Linked DNA regions of Oreochromis niloticus. The protein of the gene in region 2 binds, or shares a complex with, the protein of the main gene of each other region. Links are inferred from orthologs where the notes say so. Each region holds a gene or a part of one and is shown on either strand. Other genes may lie near its edges.

Region 1 (12,978 bases), on a different chromosome or scaffold from region 2:
TGGTGACATGTTAGTATGCACAAATGCAGAGCAGATATCTTCTTTATTCTTTGGTAGTTTAAGTATTGTGTTAGTGTTTAAATCTTTATCTGAGAAACTTGCACTGATAATCACATTTTAGAACAATAGTGGTATTAAAAGAAAAGGGTGTGCATAACTCACTGCTAGATGTCAGTGGATTGCAGTCAACTGATATCTATTTTCTCACATTTCCCAATTCAAGTGCATAAATTAAGCTACGGTGGCTGCTGAGAGGGCTGCATGTCTAATCTGCTGCCGAGAAGTCATTTTGAAAATACCAGGAATAAATAAGCATGTTTTTGCACTTTTTTCTGATTTACAGCCCTGACTTCAATTTAGGAGATGAGGCTTGATGTGAGGAGTAACAGATGATGCTTTATTAGGATGCCACTGCTGTTGTCTCTTCTCTTCAGGTTTTCATTTCTTTGGTGAAGGAGCCCCGTTCTCCCGTGATAAAAGTCCGATCTTTTATATCTTGATTCTGACACAAATTAAAGTTTGCGACACAAGAACGCCTACGAGTTCTCGAATCCTCTGCTTTTAACGTAGAATGCATCCAGCTGGTCTCTAGCCACATACATAAAACATAACTACTTGAATACCAGCAAAGTAAACTCAAAAAAAATGACTGACTGTACCTCTAAAAGAGCATAAAATTCAAAACAAAATTATTTAACGATTTGCCTTGGAGTGCCATGCCTTCCAATTCAACTCTGGTATAATAACATTCTATCTTATCCCTCTCTTATCCTATGAAGAAAACGTAGGTTTGACTTTATTAAGCTTTTTTTGTTGTTGTTCTGCTGTATAAATGTGTAACTTTATTACAGAATAAAACTCTTCATGGTTCGTTATATATGTATGTTTGTTATGTGTTGCATGTTTTATTCGTTTCCCATGTTTGAGACTTTGGTCCAGCCCATGAGGCCCGAGGTGTTCCTGCGGTGCATTACCTTGTCGGATGGCCTGCAGCAGGTCACTGCGAGCGTCACTGACGGGCTCTGGCTGAGGTTTGGGAGCAGAACAGGCTGTTACCCCGCCAGAAGGTGGCAGACGAGGAGCAGAATTTTCGAAAGGTGGTGGAGGAGGACCGGGGGGAGGCGGTGGAGGAGGTGGTGGTGGTGGACCCCCGCCTGCAGGCATAGGTGGTGGAGGAGTGATGGCGGACATAGATGGGGGAGGAGGGGGAGCAGGAGGAGCGGAAGAGGAGAAGAGCGGAGGGGGAGAAGGTGGGGTGTCAAAGCCAGAGGGAGGTGGGGGAATCCCAAAACCAGAAGGTGGAGGAGGGGGAGGAGGTGCAGGGGGAGGAGAGAGACTTGGGCGGGAGTTGTTTGGGGAAGAAGCAGTGGGGGGAGCTGGAGGAGGGTGGCTTGGACTCAGCATGCTGACACGCTTCTGGGTGGGTGCTCCATCGTTACCATACCTGTAAGTGATGAAGAGGAAGTTGGAGGTATAAAGGATAATATAAACGGCATAATGGAGCCTTCACTTCCCTCCATTAACCTGCAATTTGTGTGCAGCTGCTTCCAGAGCAGCTCCTATTCATTAAAGAATCACAAAGTCAAAGACTATAATCCATTTAGCTTCAGCTCAGAAGGCGCGTATAGGATTGGCTGTACTTTCATATGGCTGTACTTTCACTACATGTTTGCAGGGGTGGTGGTGTGCTATGAGCATGTGTGGGCTGGTATGTATGATGTTACAGTACTTACGCCATGTCCGGAGGTGGAGGAGGCAATTCATCGGGACCGGGAGGAGGAGGAGGCGAGCTAGGATCATAAGCATAGGAGTTTGTGCTAAGCTCAAGGCTTTCAGAGTTGAAGCCCTCCCCAGATCCAATACTGCCATTCAGGCCCTCAGAAGAATTCCTTATAAGAAATGAGACATCGCTGTGAGTCCAAAAATAAACCAGACCACAAGTACAAATAACAAATAATAAGAAACACGGACGTGATTAGCATTTGGTGCTCAGGCAGCATCTGTTTATGCACATTTATAACAATTTCAGAGACGTGCCAAACGCATTTTAAAGCAGCAGAAACAGATCATTACACAAAGTGTTGAGAGAGAATAGCTTGTTCTTCATCTATACAGCTTGTCAGGAAATCGGACTGTTTTTTCTCCTTATCAGGCCTGCTGTGAGGCCGATGAAACACTGCAGGAGCTGAATCAGCAAAACTTCCCATTTTGGTAAAAAGAATATAATCCAAAACAAGGAATTTAGGACTCTTTGATGTTATTGAGTTATAATGAGTACTATTAACTAATTTGTGCACATATATTTGTTGTATTCATTCTATTAATTATGACATATATTAAAATAAAAAACAAACATATATACATATGCAAACACACACACACACACACACACACACACGTATAAAAGTATGCAACAATATTAGTCCCATCAAGAACAGGGCCCAGTGTGACTCACACATTTGTTTACTGCAATTTTCCAATGACGGCCAGCTCTACACCCAACCCCCCGAGAACATTTTCTGACAGGACATACCACCCAAACCACTGTGTACAGATCCGGTGATAAGGGGGGAAAGAATGAGCAAAATAATGTCTGATCGGTTTTTTTACTTTGTAAAGAGAAAAAAATAACTTTTTATTTTATTAATTAAATTATTTATAAGATATGCTTGAAATCCACATTAAAGCCTACTGGGTATGTCAGGGCTCAGAGCCACTGCAGCCTTGTGGATGACGCTGGATGAAAATGATTGACGTTTTGTGATGGACTATTGTGAAGATATTATTTTACTATAATTAGACTTTGATGGTTTTTGTTCTTTTGATTCCCGGTCACTGTTAATGACTGATAAACAAAAAGGAGGCATCTCAGAAAACTTACATCAAGTCAGACTTTGGTACAACAAACTCCTCTCCCATCTTACGCCGTTCCCATTCGTCCTTTCTGGTCTTGATCTTTCGAGGATTGAGGGTCCGCTGGTTCAGATGGTCTTTCTTCTCCTTCTGCTCATTAAGGAGACGGTTTAAAAAGTGCAAGATTAGCACTGGATTCGAACAATTTCATGTGATGTGACTAATTGTAGATTGCTTTTACTTATGTAATGACTCATGTCTTTGTGCGTATGAGGGTGTTTATGAGTCTCACTCTGTGCTTGCGTTTCTCCTTCATGATGTCCTTGGTGTCCTGCAGCATCTTCTCCTTCCACAGGTCAAAGAAGTAGGAGGGGTCGGTGTAAAACTTTAGGGCCTCCTTCCCATCGTCTCTGTAGACAACAATTTACAGACATTAATAATTATTTCTAGTTATCATTTGCACAATGTGCTATCTTACAAGTATGAACAAAAAAAAATAAATACAGTGTTAGTTAAAAGATGGTTATCTGCCATGTGTGATAGTCTTAAGATGCCAGTAAACTTCCCCTTTTAAAAGAAAACTTCACTAAAAATACACTAATGTCTTTAGTCACATCCACATCACACTGCGCGGATAAATCATTGTCCCCAAAGAATGATCCAAGTCAAATTATTACCACATTTACATTCAAACCAGGCACCGCTCTACACATCACATTTAACATTGCTGGGGTAATTACGCAGAGATCATCCTCTCACTCTCATCTGCCTTCTGATTATTCACACTTCAGATGACACATCTTGCCTTGTAAATGATCTACACTCACAGATATCTTAGCTTGTGACTAAAGACGCTTTACATGCATCCATCCGTCCCTTTTTCTTCCACTTATCTAGGCTGGAGCCTATCCCAACTACTACACAGCAAAAGGCAGTGTACACCCTGGACAGGTTGCCAATCAGGGCTCCCACAGAGAGACAACGATTCACAGTCACATTCACACCCACAGTTGATTCATAATCAACAATTCACATAAAATGCATGTCTTTGGACTGTGGGAGGAAGCTGGAGCAGCTGGAGAGAACCCAGGCAATGGTGCTAACCACGACACCACCATACTGCCCTCTGGGGCTATTTCCCACAGAGTATCTTCCCACAATCAATTGATTGGTGGGTTATTTAACAGCAAAACCAACAAGTGTGGCTTGTCAAACAGCTGTAAGTATTAAAACCCCCAAACTGCCTGGACTTAAACAGGTTACACACTAAAAACAAAACAACAGGGAAGACGATGGCGTCGACACCATAATTCTCCAGGATTTTGCAAAGGCGTACTATGCGTTTTCTAGTGTAAAACTGCCAGTTGTGTTGGACTGAGCCTCCTTAAATCAAACCTAATACTGCCTAGACACCTCCGAGACCCACTCCTTGATAAGAAGCACATGTAACAGGGGTAAGCTTAAATAATGCACAGTCATTACAAGAATCTCCCATGCATGTGTGTTTCCATATGGGCACATGCGCTTGCACGTGTTCTTGTTATTAACTGCTGGAGCTGCTGCAGTGGATAAATATGAGCTTGGTCTGTGCAGCATCTTACCGGTATACGCTGAGCTGGTTGAGCGGTGGAGGAGGATCGCAGGTCGTGTAAGTGTCTTGTACAGGCATTGGCAGAGACGGCCTGGTGAAGAGCTGCTGGTCCTGGGTCAGACTGCTTTTGAAAGCCTTCTTTGCAGTGATTCCCTGCAAAGTAACTGAGAGAAACAGACCGGCAATGTTTTAAACATGTATTGTGTTCATTAGATTCTCTGCAAAGGAGGTTTCAAACCAATACTCTACACTGATACCAGCATAAGCAGTAACGTTAACAGTAAAATGTGCAAGTACATACCCTCCTCTTCTTTGGGGTCCAGCTGGGTGACTTTAACCTGCAGGCGATCCACTCTTTCTCCAAGCGAGCTCACCCTGCCGGCAAATTCTCCAGCCTGAACAAACAGCTCCCCGAACACGTCCTCTGCATATTTGCCTGCACGCGTGCACACACACACACAAGTTTCTCACTTGCACCAATTAAAGGATTTATCTCACGCATACATAGCCAATGAAAATTCATATCTACATAAAAATGCATTAACCTTTGTTTAAAAACAATAAACATCCATGTAATACATATTCATCACTGCTCATTAACCATTCATACACACACTGACACCCGAGCATAACAGAAGCTTACTGAGGCTGCCGAGCTGGCGGATGATGTTGGCCAGGCTTATGTTGGTGACACATTCCAGCTCACTGCGGATGTTAGAAGGAATGGGATGGCGACAAATATGCCGCGGCTCTATATTCCTCGTCACCAGAGGCATGGTGGGGTGTGCTGGGGGTAGGGCAGCCCAACCCTGATGGAAAAGGAGAGGTAGGTCAGGGGAGTGAAAAACATATAAATGTAATCAAATTAATATTAAATTTTACTATATTTTCGCACCCAATGAGCACCTATTTTCATTATGACACGACTGTGAACTGGTCCTAACAATTCGCAGACTAATCAAATTGAGGTAAAAAACAAAAAACATGTTCCTTCCATTCCTAAATAAGTCACATGAGACAGACGCCTACAAAAATACACTGACCCAGACAGAGCTAAAGCAGAAGCAAAACTATGCCTTCGCTCCACCCATCGAACATGCACCACCCACCCGGTTTAGAGTGGACAAATCTAATATGTCCAAAATAGCAAAGAGCAGAACTAGGTGGATTTGTGACTTCCCCACTGCTTACAGCAGTGGAAACACATCACGTTATTTTAAACAGATTACAGTCAGGGCAGCGGTGTGAGCTCACGCAGTGCAGTAGGTCCACAGTGTCCAGACTGAATAAGATAAGCAAACGACAGTTCCGATTAAGGGGTCAGAGATTTGCAGTGACTGCAGACTCTCCCTGCTTTCAACACAGTGCGGCCTTGATTTTGGTTTAGTCTCTAAGTACAGCCTGTTGTGACTGCTGTTGCCCATTGCAGCTGCCTAATTACAAGTTTTTTCCTGTTGGTGGTGAATCATGGCATAAATGTTACTGTGTGTAGAAAAGGAAAGAAAAAGAAAGCGGGAAAAAATGGAGGGTCGCTACCTTCGTACCTCGGGATGTGTATATTACCAAGCTACCTGGAGGATTTAGTGATTAATCGTGAATGAAGGAATGCGTCCATTTCAGGCTTAGAGGCTTGTTCGTCACTGACAGGTCGCCCACTCTGCCTTTGACAAAGTGCTATTAGCCAGCTTTACTGCACTTTTTTCCCCAACTTTACACCGAGCTCCTAACTTTCTCTGACGTGAGTAAATACGTGGTAAAAAAGACGGGTTACACTTTTTTTGCGTCCCCAACTTCACTTAAATGGATTAAATGTAATTTGGGATGTCGGCCTTGTCAGAGCAGGAAGTAACTTCTAGGCGCCTCTTATATCGAAGGAAAAGCCAAACAAACATACATTTACGCCACTCGCTTAAACAAAACAACACTCAACAAAGACATTTCACTTACCGTCAAACCTGGTAACCGTAGGCGTCTCTTTATACAGCCCTACAGTTGTTATTGTCTCAAGATTTTTCTTAAGAAATGTTGTTCGGTACTCTATGCGAGACCGAGCTAAACAGATCGCCCAAGTCCCGAGGTTGCAAACTTCTGATTGGTCGAGCGGCGGAGTTCTTCGAAGCTGATTGGCTGTTGGGCCTGTCGCCTGCTATAACCGAGAACAGGATGTGGAAGTTGCAACGTAAAAAGCGCAACTCCACCCAAACTAGCGGCAAACATCTGTCCGCAATTTACGTAAGAGAGGGTGGAGGCAGCGCCACATTCCAACGTGCGCTCAAGCGAGTTGGAACGCGTCCGAGGAATGACTGGCATTAGGAATGACTGGATAAAATGTGCTGTGGAGAAAAGCTCCTACCGACAAGCAGGTTGTCCAGTAAGCCTCGGTGAGTGTTAAGTGCCTGCTTAACCTCAGCTCAGCCCGAGCAAACTGCAGAGCTTCAAGTTAGCGTGCATCCAGTGAAGACTCAATCACATAGAAGTTGGCGTCAACTCTGTGAATATGTGGTGAATACATTTGAGACGGGTGTGGTTATTTTCATGTTGCAATGGGCTTTATCTTGTGCCCACATTTGTTTTGGCATATAAAGTTAACACTGTTACACCCAGCTGCTTTTGTTTTCCTTCATAGATCAAGTGTCCATACAATGTGGTTGGAGGAAATAGACTATCAAAGTAATTTAATTGTTGAACGCTTGTAGACTTCTTTTTTCTTTTTACTTTTTTGTGCTGTTTCCCACTATCAAGTCCATGTAAATACAGTACGTAGGTTGATGTGTGCTTCTCTCAAATTATTAAACACAACCTTTAGAATACACTCATAAAGACATTAAACCTTGTCATTTGTAAACAACCACAGATTCCAAGATCATCAGTACAAACAACTATATGTGAGTACAAGTTATTGAGATGTGTCACCACTTTGCCAAGGCCTAGAAGAAGCCCCGAACTGTCACCCTCAGTGACAGGAAACTGGTTAGGATGTTCAGGAATAATCCAAGAACCACCAAGGCTCAAGCCTACTGCGAACTGGAAACTGCAGAAACACCAGTGTCACTGTCCACAGTGAAGCATCACCATGGACTGAGAAGGTGCTTACCAAGAAGGAAGCCCCTGCTCCAAAATCAACATCTTCAAGCTCAACTTAAATTTGCCCACATGGACAAACCAAATACCTTCAGAAGAAAGATTTGATGGTTGAGATGGTCAATGGACAAGATAAAGCTTAAGCTATTCTCTAAAGTTGTAAAGAGTAAAGTTGAGGCTCTCAAACCAAACAACACGGTCCAGCGGTTAAGGATGATGGTGGCAGCGTCATGCTTCGGGCTGTTTCAAATTCTTCAACTTCACCTCAAATCAACAGCTAAACGGTTGAAACGTGGACACAATTGGATGTCTTAACAGGAAAAATCATATCAAGCACATAACAGTTTTTCGAATGGATAAAGCTATAATAAATATAGGAAAATATGGATAAATATAGAAAAAAACAAGAGATAATTATTTTTTTATTCAATTCAGTTTTATTTATATAGTGCAACATTGAAACAATAGTTGCCTCAAGGTGTTTATCTTCCACAGGACACAAATTATAGGTGCTCTGACACACCTGACCCATTGCATTACAACCAGTCACTAACAGAGTAACCCTTATTTGGAATTTAATGTGGTGGGAATTTAGGTTTTAAACTCCAACTTGATTGCTTTCCTCTAACACATTTTCACAGTATACACACTCATTTTACTATAAAATCTAAGCTCTTCTTTGATGTAAAATTTTATTGCACATATAAGTAATTAAAGCTTACAGTGATGTACTCAAAGAAGTTAACCTGTTGGATCAGACTCAGGTCAAAGGGTTGCATTCTGGGATTCATTGGTAAAAAAACAAACAAACCCACAGCGTTATGGTACAACTGTTAAATAAAGAATAGCCTGTCAGACAGCTGTTTTGCGTTCAGAAATAGTTGGAACATACATACATCCTTTGTGACACAGCAAAATCTGAGTTGAAAATAGTTGTTATTATTTGGCCTGTAACTTGGTTAAAACAGCAAGCCCTTCTTCTGCTCAATATTTGGATACAATAAAATGCTGTTTTAAATATAAATACAGTTTCTGTTTCAGAGTTGGTTTTACCCTTTAACTGCAGATTTCTTCATGTCCACTAGAGGGAGTTGTCACGTGAAGAACTGTGTATGCCTGAAATCCCAGGAAAAACAGGAAACTTCACTAGCTGCTTCCCCCTCTTTGGATAATGTGTGCGCAGCTTCATCCATCAGTGTGTGAGTCTCAGTGTCGTGTGTTTACCCAGCTGAGTGTGTAGGAACTGTGAGCATTTGCTACTGTCTGTTTTAGGACACTGTGACCCTCTCCTGCAGAGCTGTGAACCAGCTTGAGTCCACAAGCTTGAAGACCTTGAAGGACACTGAACCAATAGCGGAGCACTTCCTCATCCCTACCGGCCACCTCAAACCCTGCCCACTGCAGGTGCACCTTGGCAACAAGATGGTGGACATTCTGTAGAGTTCCTGCCTCGATCCAATTCTGAAAAACGCGCCACTCGCCGCTTAGCAGGTCAGCATACAGGAAGTGAACCTAAGGAGAAGAAAGAACAGAGGAAAGTACGGCTCTGGTCTAGCACCTCCCCACCCTCCCAAGCACATACATAGGAAGCCTAAGTTAGCAAAACACCAGATACAGAACAAAGCAGGCTTTTAGCAACAACAGAAAAGACACTGATTAAGTCAGGAACAGAATTTCCAGTCAGCATGCTAAAGCACTGTAAAAAAAACATATTAGATTTGCATATCAGCTGATGTGAATTGGGATGGTACTGAGATCAGCTCAGCTTTACTAAGAACAATTCCCAATACTGTTTATATGTTTAATGGTAGTTTATTAGGATATATTCATGCTATGAGGGTGGCTGTGGCTCAGGAGATAGAACAGGTCGTCTGCCAATCCCTGCATCCCCTAGTCTGCATGTCGAACTGAACCTGGAGTTTCGCCCAATGCATCCGTTGGAGTGTGAACGTATATGTGAATGGGTGACTAGGCTTGTAATGAGAAAGTGTTCTGAATGCTCAAAGTATCAGTTCATTTACCATTTTACTGCTTTCCATAGTGGACCTGTTGCTTATTAATCATACATATGATTATATATAATCAAATATTGAAGATCAAATTATTAGAATTATTAGCTGCAGTTCTCGGAGAAATCGATTGCAGCTCACTGGCAACTGTTGAAAAAACATCCTTACAAGCTAAAAAGTCACAAAATAGAACAATACTTAAAATGTTGAGTCTGTTGCCCTCCCCCTTTAGCATGCAGCAGTAATTAGTACTCTTTTTTTTGTACTGTTATAACCTCTAGTGCCACAATTACATGGCGCTTGGCGATCTTGTTTGTGACCTTACAGTCAATTAATGTTTCATATGCCCCAGCTTACAGTGCTTTCACACAGTGTTTTCCCCCTTCCTTCAAGAACTGCAATGACGTGTTTGCAGTAACTGACAATGAGTCTTTTCCATCACTGTAAAGGAATTTTAGCCCACTCTTCTTTGAAGAACAGTTTTAATTCAGTCACATTGGAGGGGTTTGTAGTTCTTAAGATGCTGTTCTTGGTTCTTTTGTGACCTCCTGGATGAGTCGTTGATGCGCTCTTGGGGTAATTTTGGTAGACCGGCCGATCCTGGAAAGGTTCACCATTGTTCCAAGTTTTCTCCATTTGTGAATAATGACTCTCATCCTGGTTCACTGGAGGCCCAAAACCTTAGAAACGGCTTTGTAACCTTTTCCAGACTGATATGCGTCAGTGATTTTGTTTCTCAGTTGTTTCCTTAGATTGTGAAGTGAACATGACGTGTTCGCTTCACTTTGTTAGACAGGTTGTATTTAAGTGATTTCTTGATTCAACAGGTCTGACAGTAATCAGAACTGAGTGTGGCGAGTAAAATTGAACTCAGCTTTCACAAAAAATCTGGTTAATCACAGTAGATTTAATTAACAGCACTGTCGGTCATAAATGTTGGAACAACTGAGCCACACAGGTTTAAAAGCTGGCAATGGCAGCCACTTGTGTAGTCTACGTCATGGGCTCTACATACTTGAACCAAATTTGGATCAAACTGGAGGCAATCAGACACTGAAGCAGCCAAAATTGATTTGCTTGTCCAATCAGGGGGAAACAATACATGAAATCTCTAATTAAGCACATGAACAGTGTTCTGAGTTGTCCAAACATCTTGTGCACCAGGTTTGGTTATTTTTGGATGAAATCTGAATAACAGAAAGTCAAATGTGTTAACAAATGCAACAAATGTGCACGGTCTGTATCAATCTCCTCTGCATCATCCACTGAATCCATACAGCTGTGTTAGAATTTTCCTTGTCCATCTAACAGTGAGAAAGTTTAGCCCCCCCCAAAAAAAAATTTAACCCACTCATTTGATCATTTATCCACCTATGGTGGCGCTATTGCTTACATGAAGCATATGACAGCATATGAAGCTATTGTATATTTTAACTCCATGCTGTGGCACTAATTATTTATAGATGAACATACTGGACTGCTTGCAATTCTGTCACACCGCACATAATCAAACTCCAGGTATGCAGTTCCCTCTTGTGGCTGCAGGAAGCAATTGGGTGATTCATTCACTTAAACTGTTGCCATGGTAGCCAGAGATGGCGCAGAGCCCTGTTGCTATGGGAACATCTGAGTAAAAGAGCTTTCGGGGTATGTTGGGGTGAAAAGACTCTAAGGTATGTTTGTTTGGCACTGTTTGTCTACATTTCGGTGTGTGTGCATGCGTGCGTGTCTTACTGTGTGATGTCCCAGAGCTGCCATGATGTCTGCCAGTGTCTGAGAAACACCACCCGGGTTTCCTCTCCTCTTGTGCGCGCGCTTCTTTGGAGCTCGCCACTCAAGCCACATCTTGTGCTGGCTGACCACGCCTCCATCGCCATGGTTACTAGCCAAACTGTTGCCAAGGTGACCACCAGATGCATTAGAGTTGCTGGGATCAAAACAGTGTATTTCACATCCCAGCCCCGACACAGTCTTCAGAAAGTCTGCATCTCCCCCATCCATGCTAGAGAGACAAAGACAGGAAGGAAGGCAGGAGAGCGCAAAGGCCGTTTGAACATTATTGCATGCATGATTAAATATGCATTGCATTGTTTATTCCAACTGAACCGGTGATAAGAATGCATAGCAGCACGTGCACTGACATAAGGCTCAGACAAGTGGCACACCTGAAGGAATATGCGACACACGTTTTGTGTGTAGCTGGAAGGAGCCAGTCCTCAGCACACAGCAGCCAATGGGCTGGCGCTGCAGGGCTTTGTGCTGGCTGAGCCCGCCCTGGAGATAAAACCTTGGAGCAGTTCATCTGGGGACAGACAAGAGGAAAGAGTCACATAAGACTGGCTGGATGGAGGTCTGGAAACAGCGCGACACAGAATTAGCATTCAAATGAGAAGAGGGGAAGCTAAAGAAGGAGAAGTTGTTCAGAAAAGTGGCCAGAATTGTGTAATTTGTGAGAACATTGCAGAGTCATGGCTCGAAATATCTTTGAATAAACCAGAATTGTTTAACGATAAACTCATAATTTGATGGCGGCTGTTTAAAAAGGCCACACGTGAGATGCTTTAATTTGTTGCATTGAATAATTAACGGGGACTGTTTCTGCTTTTTTCTTATTTTCTGTCACATACGCTGCTCCTACTTTGTGCTCACATTAAGCACGGTGAAAGTTTCAAGTCATGCAGTCAGAGAAAGTTAAAGGTTTCAAACAGCTCTGTTGAAATGTCACCGACTGGCTATCCTTATACGGTCATCTCAAACAAGGAGCTCTGTCTGTGAGCACTGATGCCCCACCCACCTGCAATTCAAAACATTTTGTTTGTGAGGGGCAGCCAATCACAAGAAAGCTGGCTCTAAAGTGAGACACAGAAGGTGAACTAACATGCTTCCCTGAGGTCTAGTATGAAATAAATAAGAATTCATTTAAGTCTGAGAATAAAAACATGGAGCATTATCAAGCCCCTTTAAATAATACCAAACTAAACCAGCACACAGTTTTTTTTAATTCTTACATATATAACTTTCCTTCCCACTTCTCCAGCACTTGGTGTTGCGTAAGTTTTTACTCTTGTTTGGGAGTTTCCTGTCTGGAACAAAAAGTCCTTACTGGCTCCAGATTTGGTAGATTTCTGCTGCCAGCATATTGACAGTGCCTGACTGATCATATTACTGCTATGTTAACCCCCACACTCGACTGCAGTCAAAGAAGTGTAGTAGTCAAAAAAAATGAAGTTGTTTTTTTTTATTGATTTCTGTTAAGGCTTGGCAAGGTCTAACTCCTGGCTACAAAAATTTGAAGCCCCCACTGAGCTGGAGAGCAGCCTTCGGGGAGTGCGTTATTTATTGGACCAGTGGTTTCCATCCTAAGGGCTGGGACCTCTCCAAGGGGTCAGAAGATAAATCTGGCGGGGGGGGGGGGTCATGAGACCAGATTTTTAAACAGACAGG
Region 2 (12,534 bases):
AATTCTCTTTAATATGTTGCCAAACATGGCATTTTTTAAAATCTATATATATTATGAGTCTTTCCTTACACACACCATGCAGTATATTCAACTGCATGGTGTCAATCAATTGATCAGTTAGGCAGTCAATTAATTTTAATGACGTATGATTTGTTTCTTTCTGTCTTTATGTATCAAAGCTTGGCTACAAAGCCATGGCCCTATAAGCAAACTTAAAATTAATACTGGGCTCTGTTTTCACAAGTTCAGATTTTATTTCCAGTAGCATCTATTACATAAAAGAAAGGGAGAAACCCTCAGGAAACATTTTAGTGACACCAGGCATTTGAGGTCTGCTGTGACAGATGTGAAAGTGATACCATGAAGGGATGAAAGTCAGCAGGTTTTCATCCAAATCAAACAGCTAATTTCACTCATTGAGCACATGTTAGCAAAAAGAAGCACCTGAAAAAGTGCCGGCTCTTTCCTTAATGGCCAGCTCACCCTAACCAAATTTATATCTTCAAATCAAACAGAATTAATTTAAAAAATATTAAATCTGCCAGCACTCTGATGAAATTCACTTTGCACTGCATTTTCTTTGGGGCAACATGCCACTGAAACCATGTAAAATTTATGGAGGTCTTGGGCCTTATCCATCTCATAAAGTAGGCTTGAAATTAAAAATGAGGAGTAAAAATGCCCCTGGTAATCAGGTGTGCCCTTCAATAAATGTCAACCTGCAAATTTTCACCCCAGCAGTTATTCATTAATGTGTTAATGTCCCCTCTGGGCAACCATACAATAGGTAAGCTAATGGCCAGGCGATACTTCTCAGTATTTTCTCCGCAGCAAAAGGAAAGCAACCACATTTTGTGGATCAGAATGCAGAGCGTGATGCTGAAAAAAATGTTTTGAAGCTAAGGGGAAGAAAAAAAGGCTGGTGGTAAAAGACAGAAGAAGGGGCATTAAGTTTCTGGAAGGTAAAAGATATAACACTTTCAATAAATTTATAAATATTTGATATTTTACCAGTATATAATTTAAAAAAATATATATATTTTAGTTTAAACAAAATAGGATTCAGGAACCTGAAATGCCTCTGCCCCCAAATGGAAGAACAATTATTTTGGATTATCTTCCCAAAAACTGCTTCATTTCACCAAAATTTGGTATATCTTCTGTTTTGAATATGTTATTGTACAGTACTTTAGTCAACAACTGTTGTTTTTAAAAGTGCTATATAAATGAATAAACTTGAAACTTGAAGTTGAAAGCAAAAGTACTGCAAGAATCACCAAATTAGTAACGTTTCATAGATTCTGTTTAATTGTGATGGTGTCACAGATGTGTAGGTATAACTTAGGAGACCTTTGAGGAACTTTAAACTAGGGATGCACCAATCCATCTTTTTCCACTTCCAACATGATGAGGAATCCTTGGCTTTAAAGGTTTTCCAATACAGAGTACCAATCTGATAACAGAGTTAATATGTCTCACTGTGAGAAAATGACTGAGAATCATCATTTTATGAGCAAAGTTTGATGAAACAACTTTAATTCTAACTTGACTAAAAAGTGAGAAATACATCAAAGGACAAATTTACTGTACTACATGTCAAAGATGAATACAACACCATTTTAAAAAAAATACATTAACATTATCTATTTAATTTGTTTGTACTAGTCTGATTTCAGCCCACAGTGAAACCAACATCCCTCTAGCTCCTAGCTTACCTGATGTCTCTGACAGAACATAATCAAAGGAAAGTAAATACGAGTACCTGAATAAAAGTAAATATGAGAGAGAAGCCAACGCATCGATCCTGTCCAAGCGCTTAGATGTTAGCTTCTTCCGTGCACAAAGAACTGCACAGGATCCAGATATCAGATTGGTGCATCCCGAATTTAAACCTGACATCTGAAAAGCAGCCTAAAAGTTAAAGTTCCAGATATTTAAAGACTTTTCTATACATTTCAGCAACACAACTGCGTTCTTACATATTGGCCAGTTTTGATTTTAGTCACAATAAACTAAAGGCCTTTGACTCAAGTTCCTCAGACATGGATTAAGTTGTAGTCTTGGACTAAATGTGTTTTTTCAATGCTTCACTGAATGATTCTCTTATTTTAGGACTAAGCTTAATTCATTTGTGGGAAACTGACTGAATATGTTTAACACTAGCTTGGGGGTGAGGGGCACGAGGGGTTAGCTGAGTGTGAGTGGGGTTAAGACGAACCGATACCCTGAAGAAGTAATATGATGTTAGATGGTCCACTGGCTGAAAGATAAGCACAGCAAAGAAAAACTTTAATGCCAGCTCAGCCAAGAATAATTAAGGTGGCTTAATTAAGGAAGAGATTTTAGGGTTTCTGCAGACAGTCGATGGTGTGATGAGTTAATATGCTTAAAATGGATAGGAATATTGCTATGATCTTAGATGAATTACTATCTCCCAAAGGTAGAAACCAAACAACAAAGCAAACACAATTGTCTCTACTGATTAAATATAGGAAACTTTGATAGGGTTTGCAAGATTAAAGAACCAAATCAAAAGACTGAGCCCCTGGTTTTTGGTACAAATTTCTGCTCCAGTTCTTTTATTCCTAGCTTTGGGATGCAGCTAATACTGGATGTTAGGACGTTTTCTAATATTACAAGGTAAAATGAAGCATTAAAATGACATATGAACAGGTCAGAGAGGATATGTTCAGAGGATTTATGGTGGGGCAGGTTTGAATATAGATAGATATGAAGATGATGGGACAGACAGAAAGAAAAAAGGAAGGAAGGAAGAAGGGAGGGAGGAAAGGAAGGGCGTATTAAGAAGAGTAATCAGCAGCAAAATCTTAGTGTCTGACTGCTCATACTGTGTTGTAACTTTCACAGACATGCTCACAGCAAGTTATTACTACAGTGGCATTTTAGCTGAGTGTTTTACACAATGAGGGTGCCTTCAGACCAACAAAATAATGCTTTGAAAATTAAATGCTGTCGAAAGACACCTCCAAACTACACATGGGAAACAGTATCGGCTTTCAGACAGTTTAACACTCTACTCTTCACTTGTTAAAATTGGCTAAGATATGACTGACCTCTTTCACTCGCTCCCTCATTATCTATTCATCATAAATACTCAAGCAACAAAGGCTCATCCCACACAAACAGACCCACTACTCTTTTTTTCCTCCCACACACACAAAGCATTGGTGTAAAACTTGAGCAAGAGTCAGTTAACATTAGTAAATGTGTCTTATATAACTGAGCCTATTGCAATAAGAAGCAGATGTAGTATCAATGTGGGCACTGAAGTTATTTTCCCCCCACGTCAGTTTAGCTTCCGCATGAGTTTACTAGTTTACTCTATTTTTATTTTACTGAATTATTATGTGTGCTGATGTTTATTCATCAGCACACTAATGGCTCATAATTCTACAGACATCCCAGTCTAAAGCCTCCTCATAATTTCTGCCTTGGAAATTTTAAAACAATCAAAAAATGATTTCTAGTTTTTTTTATATTAGTTAACTAAAATGCATTTTGTTTGTTTTTTTTTTACTTCTGATCTAGTCTTGGTTTTTAAGTGTGCTTGTAGTCAACTGTAATAGCCTTAGGGCACTTTAACCACAAAGGGGGCAATAACATGCCAGTAGGGTGTGTTTTTGATGCTTTTGGGTGTATTCTGGTATGAAACTTTAAGGCTATGGTCAAAAAAGGTCAATTTTGCTTAGTTTAATTTGTAACTGAACAAAGTGAGCAGGAAGCACCTGCATGACAGCCATAAAAAGAGCTGGTGAGATTCTGATCCTCTAAATATGAAGGAAAGGAGATCAGCATGGCCCTTGTCACCTCCTTTTAGCAGAGGATAAAGCATCCTGTATCAAAGGAAAAGAGATAATACCATGCCATAATTCATAGCAATGCACTATCCAGCAATCAATCATTATGATTGTGAAACAAAGCTGATGGGGTAAACATTAATTAAGTTGGTTTTTCTTTTAATTTCACAACCTCCTGATATGTTATCAGCCGTGTTATACCAACAAGGAAAATTACGAAACGCAGGCTGTTGTGATAAAATCTGCTTCTTAGGAAGTTTCTGCCTTGCTTCAAGGAACTCTATGCATTTTTAGCATGTTCAAATCTTTACAGTTAACTGAAGGGTTGCCATAATTCATTTTTGCATCATTTCTGTCCAATACTGCTAATTCAGCCTTAAGGTTTAACTTTAATTAATATTACTTCAGGCTCAGAAAGCTTTAATAAAGGCAGGAGTTACACTGGGTCATCTCTCCAGCAGTGTCAACTCAATGAGACACTACATTTCACTCTATAAGCCATTTATTCCTACGTATTGAACACTGAAAAGCAAATGGGGGCAAAGTATCTCAGATAAGGTTCTTGTAATTCATCTTTGGGGCATTATACTGTCACCACAGCAGACCACATCAAGTTATTAAGGAGATTTTTATAAGCGCAGCCAGATTCTCTTCTCTTTCCCCAACTCCTTATAAATTATCTTTCAGGAGAGGGCTAAAGCCCTTTTCTCAACATGATCAGGAAAATGCAGCCCTGAAATTTCTCTATACAGACCCCAATTACCTCAAGAGGCTTTACTTTTTCCAGGCTGCCATTTAACCAGATGAATAAGAAAAAATTTTAATAACTTGCCTGGTTAAATAAATGGCAGGTACAAACTGGTATTATGTGAAAGTAAGGCTTTACCCTAGCCTAGCTTAGTTTCAGCTGATATCTCTCTATTACAACACACAGCCGTTTTGGCTATGAAGTCATGCTGATGGTTTCTAAATGATCTCTTGATAGCTTTATTTAACTTAGTATTTTTTATCTCCTTTTAAGCACATAATTTTACATTAAGTGCCTTTAAACATTAACATTAACACATGAAAAGCTTATTGGACAGATGTCAAACTGCATAGCATTTATGCAGTCAAGCAAAACGCCTGCTGGATACAGCTAGGGTGCAAATGAAACCATTCGTTTATCAATGACCAGCATATATATAAAAGATTAAATTCTGGTTGTATCATAAATATTTGTTCGATAATCAGTTGAAAATAACAACCGAACAAATGTCCAATTAACCGACTTTACTCGTTACTTTCGCTTCATTTTTTTTTTTTTCCACAATTAGTTTACCCAGCTAAACTAGGTACATGCCAGCTAGGTCTGAAAAAAAAAGCATCGAGTTCAGTTGTGTATATGTCAGTGACTGGGGTGAACTAACAGGCTGCCTGCAGCCGGAGTTTGGTGTTTTAGTGCTTCGTGTTTTGGCTCTTGGTGGAGAGAGACGACGCCCGACTCCTAGCTTTATTAGCAGTGGTTAGCTTAGCTAGCAGCCGCCGCCATTATAGCAGCCAACGACGGCAGCTAGCTCCCACCACTAACGCAGGCCCAGGGATTTAAGGGGCTTGTTTGGCTGTTTTGGTTCCTTTTGTTCATGGCGCTACCTATTACAATCAACTCCCATTTTCATTAATCTAACCGGAAATCAGTTCACGTCGTAAATCCAATGGCCAGCTTTACCGCAAGCTAACGCGACAGCTAGTGGCTAGCTGTGCCCACAACCTGCTTCCAGGGATACCAAAGGGATAACGTAAGTGTCGTTTGACGCACATAAACACGCAGTTAGTAAAATAATAATAATGCCTAATCTCTAAAATGAGACCTAAAAATCTTCTAACTGCTCTTGCCGTGAGAGTAGCAATCAGTGCTAGCTAATCCCATATATCTCCCTGATGTTAATTTGGGATGTCCTTAAAAAAAAAAAAAAAAAAATCTGTTCAAAGACTTGTATGCGATCAGTGGGGGGCACAGCCTTGCGTGTGTGTGTGCGAACCTTTTTGATATTGTAAACACGGGTCAGCATCCCGATGCCTCTGTCGTTGAGGATGGTGAGTTTTTCTGCCAGTTTCTGCTGGCTGGGCTGGATCACTCCCCGAGACATCTTCTCCTCGCTGTTCGCCTAAATCTCCAAAGCAATCCAGTAAAAATTCCACAAATCTCCGCAGTCTTTGTTCGGTAAAAATAGGGAAGAAATGGAAACTGTGATTTATGTCGTTATTAGATTAAATTTCGCCCATGTTCTACCAGCTTCCTGTACTCCACCCCACCGTCTCCCTGCCTGTTTTTCTTTTTTTTCGTTCCCTGGATGAGGAGTTGTCCTGGTTTTCACAACGAGGCTGGCTAATGCTGCGTTCACGGACCCTCGTTAATTTTTTATATTAAACACTTGGTGTATACTTCCAGATGATGCTAAGATTTTTTTTATAACAGAAGTTGGCAAATTCATTTGGTACACCAGCTAAACATTAACAGCTTATAACAAAGTAGTTTAAATAAGTAGAATAGGGGTCTATCACACCAACCGTCTGTATGTTCCCTTCCCTGGACTCTTCCTTTTTTCTTCCTGTTTGGCAGCTCTATCTTCAACATCCTTTATCCATTATATCCACTGCTCCTCCTCTGTACATATCAAAACCATCTCATCCTTGCCTTTCTAACTTTGTCTCCAAACCCTTCAACCTGAGCTGTCCCTGAGATGTACTCGTTTAAAAAAACAAACAAACAAAAGATCCTGACCATCCTGGTCACACCCAATAAAAATCTTAGCATCTTCAACTCTGCCACCTCCAGCTCAACCTCCTGTCCTTTTTGTTTGTGCCATCATCTCCTAATCATACGTCATAGCAGGTTTCACTATCACTACCTCTGCCCCTTGCAGTTATTAAAAAATAAGTAGAAGAGTATATGACTCAATAAAATCAAATAGAATATGACTGGGCAAAAAACTTAATAAGATGAAAAATAGTTTGAAATCAAAATAAATACAATAAACAGGGATAAAAATATTAAGTAGAAGTATAATTTTCTAACAGTGAAACCAGGCATTTAAAAATCTAACAAATTTACTATTTTATTTTGAGCATTTGAACGCATCACACTGTGACGTAGCTTCCGATTCAGCTGTCAGTCGCAGGAGCTTTCCTTTCTCACAGATTGTTTCGTTTTTTAAATTTTTTATCTTGTATTAAAAAAATAAAGCTGTGATAATGTGAGATTCTATTGCAGCGATGGCATAAAGCCATTTTAAGGCAGCAGCGGTCTAATCTTTTGCGGAAATTTGATTGAATCCAGTCCATTTAAAACCAGGTTAGTGCAAAAGTAGAGAAACTAACGTGTGATGTGTTTACATTCAGACATCAGCTTCACTTGTTACAGACATCAGTGCCTTCCCCCTTTTAGTTTAACATTTCTTGTGGCATACACACTTTTAGCCCAGTTTGTGTAACTATACATTACCAATACTTAACAAATCAATTACAAACTTAATGCTTCAGCTAAATATACGTTTGTATGTTTCAGGCGAGTCCTGTAAACTTTGTTGTGATGCATTCACTGGCTCAGGAGATCCACGGCTTCGCGAAAGACCGACTGAAGAAACAGTGCACGCGTGTTACCACAGTGACAGGCAAAAAGCTGCTGGAGAGGAGGAGTGATGGAGGAGAGGGAGATGTGGAGCAGGTTGAAGAGCTGGAGGAGGGAAATGGGTGTGGATTTGTAGAAGATAACAGCCTGGACCTCCAAGTTGGTGTCGTCAGACCGTTCCTCCTGCTGGGTAATCGCTGTAGCACCATTCTTACAAATGCTTTTTTTTCAGTGCTAATCCCACCACATGATTGCACTATTCTAGAACCAGATCAATATATCTGTTGGGCATTATTAGCAGTTGGCCTATTGGCCTATCACACGTATATCTGCATATAGATTGCCTGATATGCACCAATATTTTCACAAAACGTAACACAGAAATCTCTCATCGCTGTCTGCTGATTACACAGAGTGTCAGCAGTTTTGCATTTTGAATATTAAAGCATGCAAATCTATTTTAGTAACCCTCAACAGAAAACAGTGAATCTGGAAATATGCATGGTTCAACAGAAATTGATCTGGGTCTAACAAGTAAAGTAGCTGCAGAAGTGTTGTAAACCTGTATTCGTTCTCATGGGTGGCAGGGGGCAAAAATAATTCAAGTTGTCTAGAAGTCTATGGAAAAACAGCCCTACTTCTCACTTTTTCTGTGAGCTCAGTAAACCCTTTCCTGATGGGTTTGTGGTCTCAATCACTAGGTTCAAGACTCATTTAATAGAGCATGATGGCCATTTTCTAAATTGTCATCCAGTTTAGTGTAAAATTAGTGATAAAACAGGGTATTTGGCTATCTTGTGATTTGTAAGTCAATATCATGTCAAGCATAATTGCTCAGTTTTCTCAGTCGAATTCACCTATTGGCTTCTGAGTCTTAAAAGAGTCTAGTCTGGGGCGCCGGTTGAGATCTCTGGAATGAGCAGGCGACCATATGCCGCATGGCTGAGAGCGGATGACCCGGGTTCGAGTCCAACCCGCGGCCCTTTGCCGCATGTCTTCCCCTCTCTCTCTCCCCCCATATACACACACACACAACAGTAAAAAAAACAAAAGTAAGATTGGGATTTTACAAGGGCATAGTGCAAATTCCATTAATAAATAATATGTACACTATAAATCAAAGAAGCACCTGCAGGATGGTATAATACAGAAATATGTGTGTGGAACTTTATGCCTGCCAGGCGTGTTCACATATCACAGAAAGAAAAGTTATTGCACAGTTTCACAGAGAAGGGTAGGAATGATTTGCTAATGCGTTCTTTAGGGCAGCGGGGTTGAATAACTCTGAGTCATGTGGCTCTGTTGTAACTGACAAGTTATTGTACGAGCATGCAGCGTCCCTCAGTTTTCACACATGAACAAACAATTTGAGGACAATAAGCGCCAGATATTTTCCACACTTCTCCTTTGTCACATCTAACACTCGGGAGAAAATAGTCCACTTCAGAAGCATATGCACTTCCAGAAGTACTCTTTGTGTAGTTTACATGGAGAAGCTGCCTGGACAGAGCATGCAGGATGCATGTCACCTACTCTCTAATGGTACATTTACTGGAATATTACCCATGCTTTTCACACAGTGATACAACTGGACAGCACACAGGCTTTTCATAGCAGGATTCAATATACAGTCAATGGTATAACATGGACACAAATAAGAAGTTGATTTGTGTTTGTATGGATCAAACTTCTTCATCAGTCGAATCTAAGAAAAGTGCTCAAACATTTTGGTGATTTTGCCCCAAAACAAGATTTTAAAAAGCTTTTTTTTTACATGGACATTTTATCTCTACCACCATCTTTACTGTTGCTGAACCTTCCCACAGATTTAAATTCAGGACTCTTATAATGTCTCTGTGCAGATCCAGTTACTGTGGCAATGACTTAACATTATTAATTCCCAATAATGGATAAATCATTGTTGTTATTTTCAATTTGTCCAAAGATAAATGTTGACTTGGCCGTATAGCTGGAGGATGCAGCTTTCCACATGTCAGTATGCATCCACCCTGAAGCGTCCTTGAGCTTGACATTGAATTCCCACCCTGCTCTGAGGTTGCTGTTCACATCTGTAACTAACGCTGTGCTTTGACCTCACTGCGAGAAACAATCAACGAGAATATTTCTCAGCAGGGATCAATAAAATATTACATCTGTCTGGCTCAACAGAGGTGCGCTTCAAACACTAAAACCTGTTTTCATTCCCCAAAGTACCTCAGTGGTCACATCAACCTGTTATCACACTGTACAGGATGACAGGGCATGTGTTAATAGTTCTCTGATATTTTTGTAACTGCCTCTCTGTTTTTTTCAGTGCTCTTGTGACAGATTTTCATTGTATATTCTGTAAATAGAGTACAGTACAGCTCTGTCAGGCTGGAGGCAAGTTCCTCTCTGAAGGCTTTGTGCAGACTCCCTCAGTTGTCTTTGGCTTGATGCCGTGATATTGCTAATATTTATAATGTGTTGCTGTCCTCTGGCTACAATCCAGTGACAGTTATTATATTTTGACATACACATAAATATCATCCAATTTAAACTAGCTCCTATATCTCCACGATATCGGTTAAAAATAGCAAACAAAAAAAACTTTTTATGATTTTATATTTCTTGCAAAGTGTCAAGTCATGGAAATGATATTCGTTCCCCCTTTTAGATGCGTTTAATATGAAGCTATAGCCAAAGAAGAGTCCTAGTATAATAGTGTGCCTGGCTCCATCCTAAAATTAAAATAAACTACCTACTAAAAGTCTTTCAAAGCGTTCCAACTTACAGGTTTGGGTGTTTTTCATTTAACCCAAATGTCTGTAGAAACTTTGTTGGGCTTCTATTTTTAAAGTGTAGAAAGGCTAACCGCATCCCCCTGTTTCCAGTCTTTATGCTAAGCTAACTAGCTGGTGCTTAATATTTTTGATCTTTCAAGCAAATACAATGTTGAACTGATTTGTGTTTGACTGAGGGTAATAAAACATATAGGAAATATCTCATATGAGCAACTTTGGAATCTTGAAACAGAACATTTTACTTTAAATAATTCAATAAATACAATTTATTATTATTAGTAGTAGTAGTAGTAGTAGTAGTACAATTAGTAGAATTAGTAGTAGTAGTATTACAGCCACTGGCTTAAACTAACATTATTTTTCTTCGACTGTGGCCTTAAACATCTTTTGAAAAGAAATGCCCAAAAAAGGTCTCCAGATAAAGGGAAGGGAATTTCTCCTACAGCATGTGTGTGAGGGATTTTTCCTGAAGACTAAAAATGACCGTGTGTAGTGTATCTGATCCATGGAGGCAAAGAAGATTGCTCCTCTTCTAGCTTTTGAGAGACAGGATGGAGATAAAAATATAAAAAATAGCAATCGATTAAGACACATTTTTACCAAATCTCATTATTTATAGAATAAAAATTGACTCTTTTTTCCCATTATTGATTCAAATGCATCTACAACAACATCTGCAGGCAAGAGCAGAGAAGTTGTTCTCTGTGTGTGTGCGGGGTATTCATTGTGATGATCTTCAGTATTTTTTCATGGTACATGTCGCTCAAAGGGAGGATTCTCCCTTACCAATTAAAAACACAGATACAATTTTCACTGATAAGCAGCAACATGTAATAATGATATACAAAAATAACTAAATGGAAATGCAGTGAAAATCAATAGAAGAAGTATCGACTTAATTTCAAGGTTTTGGGGCAAAGTCTGCCAACTAAAAAATGAAAGTGGCAAAACCTCAGTCACACAGGCCTGGAGACCAGTTGGTGACGCTCTGGCACCCTCAGTTGCTATGGGGGAAATGTACAGTGATGAAAGAAAGTATTTCTCTCCTTCCTGACTTCCTTGTTTTTTGTCATATTTGTCACACTAGAATGTTTCAGGCCATCAAACAAATTTTAATATTAGACACTGATAACCAGAGTAAATACAAAATACATTTTGTCAATGATGATTTCATTTATTGCAGTTCTGCGTTCTTTTGTGACCTCGTGGATGAGTTGTGAGCACGCTCTTGTTGTAATCTTCATAGGCCGACTTCAGTTTTCTCCTTGAAATGGCTTTGTCACTTTGGTTCTCATCTGTTCTTGAGTTTCTTTAGCCAGTGGCATGTTGTGTTGCTTTGAGTTCACAGACAACTCTCTAGGTCTGCATAAATGAGGCTTTAGCGATTGATTTTGTGGTGGTGGCCAAAAACCAGCTGCATTACACTTTTTAACCTCGCAACTGGTGGTTTTCAACTTGCCTCTAAGGCTATATGACTGGGGCCTAACTTTAATGTGTCTTCATCCCCTGTGCAGTAATTGTTACAACAGAAACAGTAACAACTAAACACTGTTTTTGAACCCTCTCATGTTGGGAAGCTCTCTCCATTAATTTGATACTCACTTTAATTTTACTTTTGGTTTCTGTGATTCTACCACTTCACCTTATCCCTTCCCTTTTAACAACAGAGCTTGTTTTCTTTTGGCGGATTGTATCCACCGTTACTTTGTTTCCACTTTCCACCATGTCAGCTACGTGGGGAAAACTACAGAAAATAAAAGTGCTTTCCTCTTCTCGGTGAGAGCCAGTCTAATTGTTGACCACATTAATATTCAGTTGGCTATTATACTGTGCAATAATAATAATTTATTATAAGTTAAAGCAAAAACATGTCTACCTCTGCTTTAATAACACCAGCACATTGAGTCTATTGATTTTCTAATAACATCTGCCACACACCACTAAAAATATGATGGACATCTGTCTACTCTTCTTTAGCATACTCGCTGAACAAGGTCCCCTGTCAGACTCTTATTTAAAAAGTGCTCTAAAAATCCTGGCATCCTTTCACAGAAGTGTCACTGTAAATCATCTTCTTCTATACTGATGAGACATATGGGCCGGAGCAGGCTTATTTCCAAACACATGCTCAGTCCTTTGGCTTTAGATGTGCATCTCAACACCATGAGTTTGGCATTACGTAAAAGTGGATTGGCTAATGCAAAGAGTGCAAATGTTGCTACTTTGAAGACAGCAAGCTGAGAATCCACCCTGGAAAGTCTGGAGGAAGTGCTTCCATCATATTCTGCTTCCTGCCCATATGTCTCCCTCACATAATTACCCA

The links.
Region 1: nckap1 (region 2) and wasf2 share a complex: the UniProt entries of both Homo sapiens proteins name them as parts of the WAVE2 complex. The link is inferred for Oreochromis niloticus from reciprocal best matches to the Homo sapiens genes NCKAP1 and WASF2.

The regions. Positions count from the first base shown.
Region 1 is NC_031985.2:22,539,703-22,552,680, reverse strand, and holds the start of wasf2 (actin-binding protein WASF2), read right to left. Parts: upstream 6,538-12,978; 5' UTR 6,392-6,537; intron 5,254-6,391; 5' UTR 5,221-5,253; coding exon 5,088-5,220; intron 4,881-5,087; coding exon 4,746-4,880; intron 4,609-4,745; coding exon 4,455-4,608; intron 3,264-4,454; coding exon 3,146-3,263; intron 3,004-3,145; coding exon 2,882-3,003; intron 1,890-2,881; coding exon 1,734-1,889; intron 1,445-1,733; coding exon 975-1,444; intron 1-974. Other genes in the region: methyltransferase-like protein 24, read right to left, coding at 8,732-9,037, 11,269-11,536, 11,700-11,836. UniProt on the Homo sapiens protein: Downstream effector molecule involved in the transmission of signals from tyrosine kinase receptors and small GTPases to the actin cytoskeleton. Promotes formation of actin filaments. Part of the WAVE complex that regulates lamellipodia formation.
Region 2 is NC_031978.2:5,315,216-5,327,749, forward strand, and holds the start of nckap1 (nck-associated protein 1), read right to left. Parts: upstream 6,184-12,534; 5' UTR 5,948-6,183; coding exon 5,840-5,947; intron 5,597-5,839; exon of another isoform or gene 5,124-5,596; intron 1-5,123. Other genes in the region: dual specificity protein phosphatase 19, read left to right, coding at 7,390-7,618. UniProt on the Homo sapiens protein: Part of the WAVE complex that regulates lamellipodia formation. The WAVE complex regulates actin filament reorganization via its interaction with the Arp2/3 complex. Actin remodeling activity is regulated by RAC1.